Pelodiscus sinensis: one gene and its partner. The protein of the gene in region 1 purifies or fractionates together with the protein of each later gene. This does not show direct contact. Links are inferred from orthologs where the notes say so. Each region holds a gene or a part of one and is shown in the gene's direction. Other genes may lie near its edges.

Region 1 (3,914 bases):
CAATTGTTTGCACTCATTATTTGCACAAAGGCACGAATTATTTGCAATTCTTACAGTGCTGTCAACCCCAAGGAAACTATCAACCTGCTGTGACATGAGGCCATACTAACAGGACGGGGTAAGGATAAAAAACACAAGCTTAGTGAAATACACTTGTAAATGCACCAATTATATGCATTAAATTTATTGTTTGCACAAATATTTGCCCTAGTAAATTACTAGCACTAATTAAAATTGCACATTTGCCCTAGATATTTCTTGCACTAACTGTATTTGCACCTAGTATTCCCAGTAGTGAATTGCACCAATTTGCACTAATTAAAAACGGTCCTGCTTTGCATTAGATAGGTGCACAAATAATCCGTGCAATCACCTACTACAGAATTGCACCAGGCCTTTGCACGAACGAGCTCTTTGACCTGCACCATCACTGGAACGGCAGCTCCTCCCTCACCACAATCGCCACAGCACGAGCCGCGCTTACGTCACGGCCCCTTCTCCAGCCGCGCCGTCCCCGTAACCCGGGCAACGGCGGTAAGAAAGGGAAAAAGCACTGTGGCCAAGCTGCCGTCAAGCAAATCATCTCTGGTGCACTGCGGTGCTGTAAAAGAAGGTCTCTGTCTCCGAAGCTCTGCCACTCGCTGCCCCGTGCCGCTGGAGAGGTGCAGGGACAGGGAGGAGGCAGGGGGAAGCCCTAGCAACAGAAAGTGCCACCCCGCGGTGCGTCGCACACAGCACTGCCGTAAAGCGAACCGGCCACACATCGCAAAAGCAAACCGATCGTTCATTCCTTGCCGTGAAGCCCAGGGACTCAGGGCAAAAATTCACACAGTTGCAAAGCGAGGCCGCAGTGCCGTAAAGCGAAGTGACGCTGTGTACGAGAAAAGCTGCTGTAAACCGCGGTACAACCTTCTGACAGAAATCTCAACGCTGTCGTGAAAAAAGGCGGTACCCATCGACGGAGATTTCGCGAGGGTGCCGTAAAGCGTGACGGGGTCGTCAGAGAAATAGCGCCACTGTCATAAAAACTAGTCGCAACGTTTAAAAGGGTCGCGGCGCTGCCGTAAAGCGCGGCGGTACTCTGTGAAGAGCGGTACGGCGTTGGACGTCTCGCTGAGGAGGGACGCTACTGTAAAGCGCAGCGACGCTCGGTAAGCGTCAGCGACGATGCCGTAAAGCGTGGTGGCGGTACGACGTGGGGATTAGCGACACGGCCGTAAAGCGCAGCGGCCGCGGCGCTGCCGCAAAACGCGGTGGGCGGGATGTCGGGCCCGGGCGCGGAGTTGCACCCGCGTACGGGGAAGCTGGTGACGCTGGCGCAAGGGGGTCGCAGCGCCGCCCGGTCCCAACCGGGTCAGGAGTTCAACCACGGGCTGGTGCTGAGCCGCGAGCCGCTGCGGCCGGGTCGCGTCTTCGCCGTGCGCATCGACCGCAAGGTGCAGGGGGCTGGAGCCGGGGGAGGGGGAAGAGCTGAGAGTGGCTCGATCTGGGTGGCGGTGGACGAGCGGGAGGGGGCATGTTGGGGCTGGACCCGGCTGCTGTGGGCTCCCCACGGAAAGCCAGGTGCTGACTTTCTCCATCTCTCCACCATTCAGGTGAACTCGTGGAGCGGCTCCATTGAGATTGGGGTGACTGCCCTGGACCCCGACCACTTGGACTTCCCCAGCAGTGCCACAGGGCTGAAAGGTGGCTCATGGGTCATCTCTGGCTGCTCAGTGCTGCGGGATGGGCGCTCCATCCTTGAGGAGTATGGCCAGGACTTGGATCAGCTGGGTGAGGGTGACCGGGTGGGCATCCAGCGCACTGCCAACGGGGAGTTGCACCTCTGGGTAAACGGTCAGGACTGCGGTGTGGCCGCCACCGGCATCCCGCCCCGAGTCTGGGCTGTGGTGGATCTCTACGGCAAGTGTACGCAGGTCACTGTTGTGCCCTGTGAGCCAGAGGAGACTGAGGAAGGAGCTGCAGGAGATGAAGGTAGAGAACTTCTTCTCTGTCTGCCCCAGAGTCACCATATACTATCTCTGTCCATACTACTGTATTTACTTTAACAGCACACTTCCCCATGCTGCTTTTCTCTTCCTAGATGCTCTTTTATTGTTGGCACTGTTGCCTCTAATTTTTTCCGTGTGCAGAATAAATTTTGTTAGATACACCGAGACATGTATGGATTTGCACCACCAGTAGAAACACATGCTGCTGGCTGCTGCTAGCTGTAGGCACTCTGCTAATCAGCTGGGTGGCATTTGATTCTCTTGGGTGGCCGCCCAAATGCTCAGCTTACAGGGAGCACTGCTTTTCGGTGTCCTAGGTTTGATTAGCCAGAGGTGCTGTATGTAAATAGAAATATGTACGAGGACTGTGAGGCCGAATAAACAAAGAGTAAGGTCTATTGTTTCATGCCTGGTGCTCCCAATACCCAGACTCTTAATATAATTTTCAGTATAGACACACAACTCGGTAAATATCACCTCTCTGTACATCTAGTATGTTGCTGTGTGTAGAAACATCACATTCTACTTTTTGATGGCTTCTGTACAGACATCAGATTCAAGGGATTCCTGTGAACTCTTCTACATGCCTTATGCCATCTGCCACTTGGTATCAGCATCACAACCACTGTGGGGTCTTGTTAATCTTATGGAGTTGATAGGCTGAAATGCGGGTTTATCTGTCTGGCACAGTTTCTGTGCTAAGTTTCCTCTAAGCTGCACGACTGCGCATCTATTTTCTGACCCCTGCTCAGAGGTTCAAAGCTCCCACCCAGGCAGGGAGCTCAGCTGACCAGTGGGGTGTGGGGTGACTGTAAGCAGCAGTTAAAGGAGCTGTGCTGCTTGAACTGAAGAGCTCCCAGAGCAGATAAGCAGGCGAGATAAGGACAGAATAAGTGGCTGGAGGAAGGACTGAGTGAGTGAGTAATTAATTGGCTTGGGGGAAGACAGAGGGGAGGGGAATTTGGAGAGTCCTGTCTGCCCGAGCAGGGGGAGGCAGAAACCCAGCAGTCTCTTCAACCCTTCTAGGCTGGGAAGGGGGAGGTGGGGGAAAGAGGGAGTGGGTGGATGCTGGCATCTGTGCAATAAAGTGGAGGTGGAGGACTGTTTGGGGTATCATGATTCACTTGCTGCCATCCTCCCTGGCTGGGTTAGAAGCTGGGGGTGGGGAGAGCCGGCTGTATGGGGGGTTTGTGTGCCAGGAGGACATTTGCATGATTACATTTCAAACAAAGTTTACTTGGGTGTTAATGGCTTAAGGTAAGAAAGAAAAAGATTCTTTTAACAGATTTGTTTGAAGCATTGTAGATCTCTAAAACTCTGAATTTAATGATTCTTTTTAAAAATCCTGTGTTGCTAATTAATACATGATAAATTGTTGCATTACGGCCAGATTTTTGCTATGTGATAGAGTTCTGTCTCTTGTGACACAAAGTAGCAAGTTTTGTAGGATGAATCCTTATTTGTAAGCTCTTTGAAACATGCATCTGTCTACAAATCCTGAAGTGATGTGTTAATTTGTTCTGGGGCTTCTACTCTTCCTCCAGTGGAAGAAGGCTAATTCCCTACCTTTGCACAGCACCTTTGTGGTATAGATAACTCACAGCAACGAGAGACAGGTGTCTTGTTTGAATATATTTTCTTCCACACATGCACACTGCTTATATATATGTATGTAAATGTGTGTTTAGAGATATTAAATTTAGATCAAGTAACTAATTGAATAGTTGATGGGATTTCCATTGACTATTCTATTAGTCTATAAGGGCACCTCTGCCTTTGAACTATAGCAGGAGCCCTGCCAGGCTCTTGCTACAGTTCAAAAATGGAAGCCTCGCAGGTGTGGCGGGGGACTCCCACTGGCCCCACATTCCCTGTGGTGCATCAGTCTTTGAACACTTCAACAGGAAGCCCTGCTCTGACCAG
Region 2 (3,914 bases), on another chromosome or scaffold:
AATGTAATAAGAGTAGTTTTGGTCATAAGTCTGGCTGGCTGTATCCTGAGAAAACCAGTCCAACATATATAGGTCTGAAATAATTTATAATGATTAAGTGAGTCAGAAAAGTATTTTAAAATCTTTTGACAAGTTCTGTGTTATTTTAAGATAACAAAAGGCAGGCTCATAAGATTTAAATTGATAATTGGTGTAAAGATCATGCTACTGATGATAACTATTAGCCTGACTTTAATGCCTACCCCCCAAACTAAGTGTTTCTACAACTTTAAGATGACATAGCCTGAGCTTAGTGCGGTAGCGGTGTCTTCTTCCAACCTGCCACAATGCCTACTTGATGAACACTTTAGTAGCTGGTGTACCCAAGGCTGCTGAAGAGACAGGAGTGATGAATTCTTGAGAAAGTCTGAAAGCTTGAGTCTGATGACTCGTGTAAAAGAATAAAGCTGGAGTGTGAGTGATGCCTCTGTCCTAGGGCTGCATTGACATATTACAGTCCATCAAACTATCATCACCTCTGAAATGTGGTGTGGTGACACCTCTCCTAGAAGGTTATGGTGATGCAGTGTAAAGATGGTACTGATTTCAGGGTCCTTGAAATGATATTAGGACGGGTGCATATATTCCACTGAAAATCAGCACAGGTGCTGGAACAATGTGTACAGTCGGAGTGCTGAGAATCACTGACCCAAACTGCAAACCCCATGTATGATGAAAACTACATCAAGTGAAGGCGTGTGGTAGCACCTATGAATTGGGATGATTCTGGGAATATTAGCATGGGAAGCAAAACTCCCTACACCCGATATAAAATCGAAGTCATCTTCACATTCAATTGAGAAGTGCAGTACAGTGCACCCCGGCTCAAACTACAGAACCTTGCGCACAATGCTCCCTATTGAGGCAAGCTGCTTAGGGCTCAATAGGACTACCATTCCCAGCATGCAACCCTCAAATGGCGAGAGGAAGTGGTCGCGGAGAAGCACTGCATGCTGGGATTTGTAGTATCTCCGTCCCGCCCTTGGGCCGAACGGCTCGGTGAGTCGCCTGCAGCCGGAAGCTCTGAGGGGGTAGTGGGAAGGCTGGCGCTGGGGAGAGGGGCGGGGTGCGGCGGGATTTGCGGTTGCCAGGAGCCCGCTGCTGCCTGGCGGGGAGCGCTGCAGCGCGCTCTGTGCAGGGAACCTGGGTGCGCTGGGCCCGCCAGCAACGGATCCGCCACCGTGGGGGCCCGTAGCAGGTACCGGGGTCTGCCCCGGCCGCGGAGCGGAGTGTGCGCGCGCGCCGGGGCCTGCGGCTGATTCCGCGTCTCCTCCCCCCGCCTGGACCTGAGGGGCCGCCACCTCCGTAGGCGGGAACCCTCCAGAACTCCCTCTGCCTCACCGGCGTGTGGGGGGGGGGGAAGCCGCCGGCGTCTGACTTTCTCCCCATCCCCCCCTCCAAACCCCCCCCCCCCCGCCCGCTGCCCCTCGGTGTCAGCTGTGAGGTGTTCGGCGCTGGATAAAACGGGGCCCAGTCCCAAGAGGCGGCTGTAGCGGAGCCCAGGCTCCGGGGGAAGGTTTGAGTTGAGGGTGGGAGGAGCTGAGTGCTGTTCTTTTGGGGGGCGGGGAAGGCAGCTGCTTTCTGGGGCGGGGGGTTAGAGCAGGTGGACCAACCAGAATGAGGGGTTTGAATGAAGAGAGGGTGGGGGCTGCGTAGAAATCAGGAGACTGAAGCTTCAGGGAGGGGCTTCTTGGACGAAGGCAGTAACAAGAACGAGACAACCCAAAGGAGAGAGAGGACTAACATGTCTTGTGAGTTTCTTGCGTGGCTGTGAATTTTTAATTTGGACGGGGGCTGCCATATCAACATTGGTGGTGGTGGTTTGTGGTTGAACCAGTTTTATCATTTGTAGGGAATTTCCAGTTTCCATCCAGTTTGCAAGAGAGCCTGAAATTGAACATAGGCATTTGGGTTCTGCAAGGAGAGCTGATCTGGTAGAAGAGAGAGGTGATAGACAGCTGGCCCCCAATAACTTCTTGACCCCTAACCATCCTGAAAGCAAATCAGCACACAAGACCGTCACCAGCTGAGATTTTTTGCTTGGCTCAGTAATTTTTAGTACAAGTAGAATGTTATGGAGACTCCAAAAACAATCAGATTCAGTGACTCAAATCTTAATTTCCTCCTGCACATGGTTTGGGGGCTTTTGCTGAAAAGCCCACATTCTTCAGATTGGGTTATTTTTATAGCAGTTCTTCCTATCACTTAGTGCAGAAGGGCAGTGAATTTATACTGTGGAAAAAAGCAATTCTGTAAAGATGGGGAATAAGCAGTTTTGCTATTAGTAGCAGAATTTTCTTATCTTTTCTTTTGTTCTGAGCTCAAATTGTTGAGCTGGGGGGTCTTAAGCAGAGCCCCACTGCCTTCAAGGTTAATAACTTACCAACCCAGGAATGTGTTTGCTAATTTTAGGTACATCATCAGTAATTTACAGTAATGTAACACTATTTCTGTCCACAACTTCCAAACTTTGGTGTGGCTTTTCCCTTCAGTCTCAGAATTGCACAAATTGTTGTACAGAAGATTAAGAATACACTTTGTGATTTGTATCTCCTCCTCCCCCCCAGTAAAGCTGTAATTCCAGCAGTGATAACATTATCATCAGGATGCTGGAGTAAATTGCACCTGTTGGTTATAATGCCATTTTAGAATTCTAGTAATCTGTGGGGATTTTTAATAACCATATTTAATATCTGTGAGAACACAAGTCAAATAAATGTACTCATGGGTTTGGAAGGAGGATTTTGTGTATTAGTGGAGAGATGGGATAAAAAGTAATTTTAAAAAGATCATCAAAGATGTATTGCCCCCATTCTTTATTTGTTTAACCTTGTGTTCAGTTAAACAAGGTATATAGACTTTTGCAAGTTTTAAATCTGCCATGGTGTTAAAAATTCTTCAGGAACTAATTTTCATGGGCTTAGGGTGTCTTCAGGTTTCACCAATGGAATAATTATATCAATTCCAAATGTAAATATCAGGGCATGTAATTAAGTGCCCTTCTGTCCTCACTAGTGCTTCTCAGTCACCTGTAGTGAAAATGATTGTTACAGGTGTTTGATTAACTACAGCACCTGCAAATATGTCTTTGCCTTCTATTGTTAACTTAAGTGACTTATTTATAACAGTGCATTCTGTACTGTAAATCTTTATCATGGTACATCATAATTGAAGGGAACCATATATTCTTGTGATGAAATCATTATGATTTATATTGAGCTGCCTGTTTCTTTACTCACTCGAAAAAGCATTCAATGGAGGGTGATTTTTTTTGTAAAACAATACTACTGCATTCATCTTGCACTCATTGAAGGTGAAAACAATACAGGCAGTCCCCAAGTTATGTACAAGATAGGGACTGTAGGTTTGTTCTTAAGTTGAATTTGTATGTAAGTCGGAACTGGTACATATTGTAGGGGAAACTCTAGCCAAACATTTCTCCAGAGCTCAGTTTTATTCTCCCGCACCTCACTTCCCTCAGTCCTTTATTCTCAAGCTGAGGTGTCTGCTGAGAAAAGCCACTCTGCGTCTCCCTGGTCTGCTGAGGGGGGGAGGGGGGCGGCGGGCGCTAGCTTCGCGTCTCCCTGGTCTGCTGGGGGGAAGCAGCTAGTGCGGGGTTGTCTCACCCCGTTTGTAAGTAGGGATCTGATGTAAGTCGGATCCATGTAACCCGGGGACTGCTTGTATAAATCTTGTTAATTTTCTAAATTATTAGTTTTTAAAAACTTCAGGGTAGTTGATGCAAACTATCATCTTATAGCAAAGATAGTTTGAGCCAAACCATATTTACAATGTTAATTTGTTTTCCCACATTACTTGAGAGAGAATCTCTTTTCTGACCCTTCACCCTCACCAAGTAACAACAGCACTGCCTC

What was found.
Region 2: the proteins of NEURL4 (region 1) and CCP110 purify together in Homo sapiens (affinity purification with western blotting; 4 studies listed by BioGRID and IntAct, with this or other methods). This does not show direct contact. The link is inferred for Pelodiscus sinensis from reciprocal best matches to the Homo sapiens genes NEURL4 and CCP110.

Annotation. Positions count from the first base shown.
Region 1 is NC_134734.1:9,809,368-9,813,281, reverse strand, and holds the start of NEURL4 (neuralized-like protein 4), read left to right. Parts: upstream 1-1,203; 5' UTR 1,204-1,262; coding exon 1,263-1,436; intron 1,437-1,595; coding exon 1,596-1,974; intron 1,975-3,914. UniProt on the Homo sapiens protein: Promotes CCP110 ubiquitination and proteasome-dependent degradation. By counteracting accumulation of CP110, maintains normal centriolar homeostasis and preventing formation of ectopic microtubular organizing centers.
Region 2 is NC_134726.1:21,046,641-21,050,554, forward strand, and holds the start of CCP110 (centriolar coiled-coil protein of 110 kDa), read left to right. Parts: upstream 1-937; 5' UTR 938-1,038; intron 1,039-1,065; exon of another isoform or gene 1,066-1,790; intron 1,791-3,914.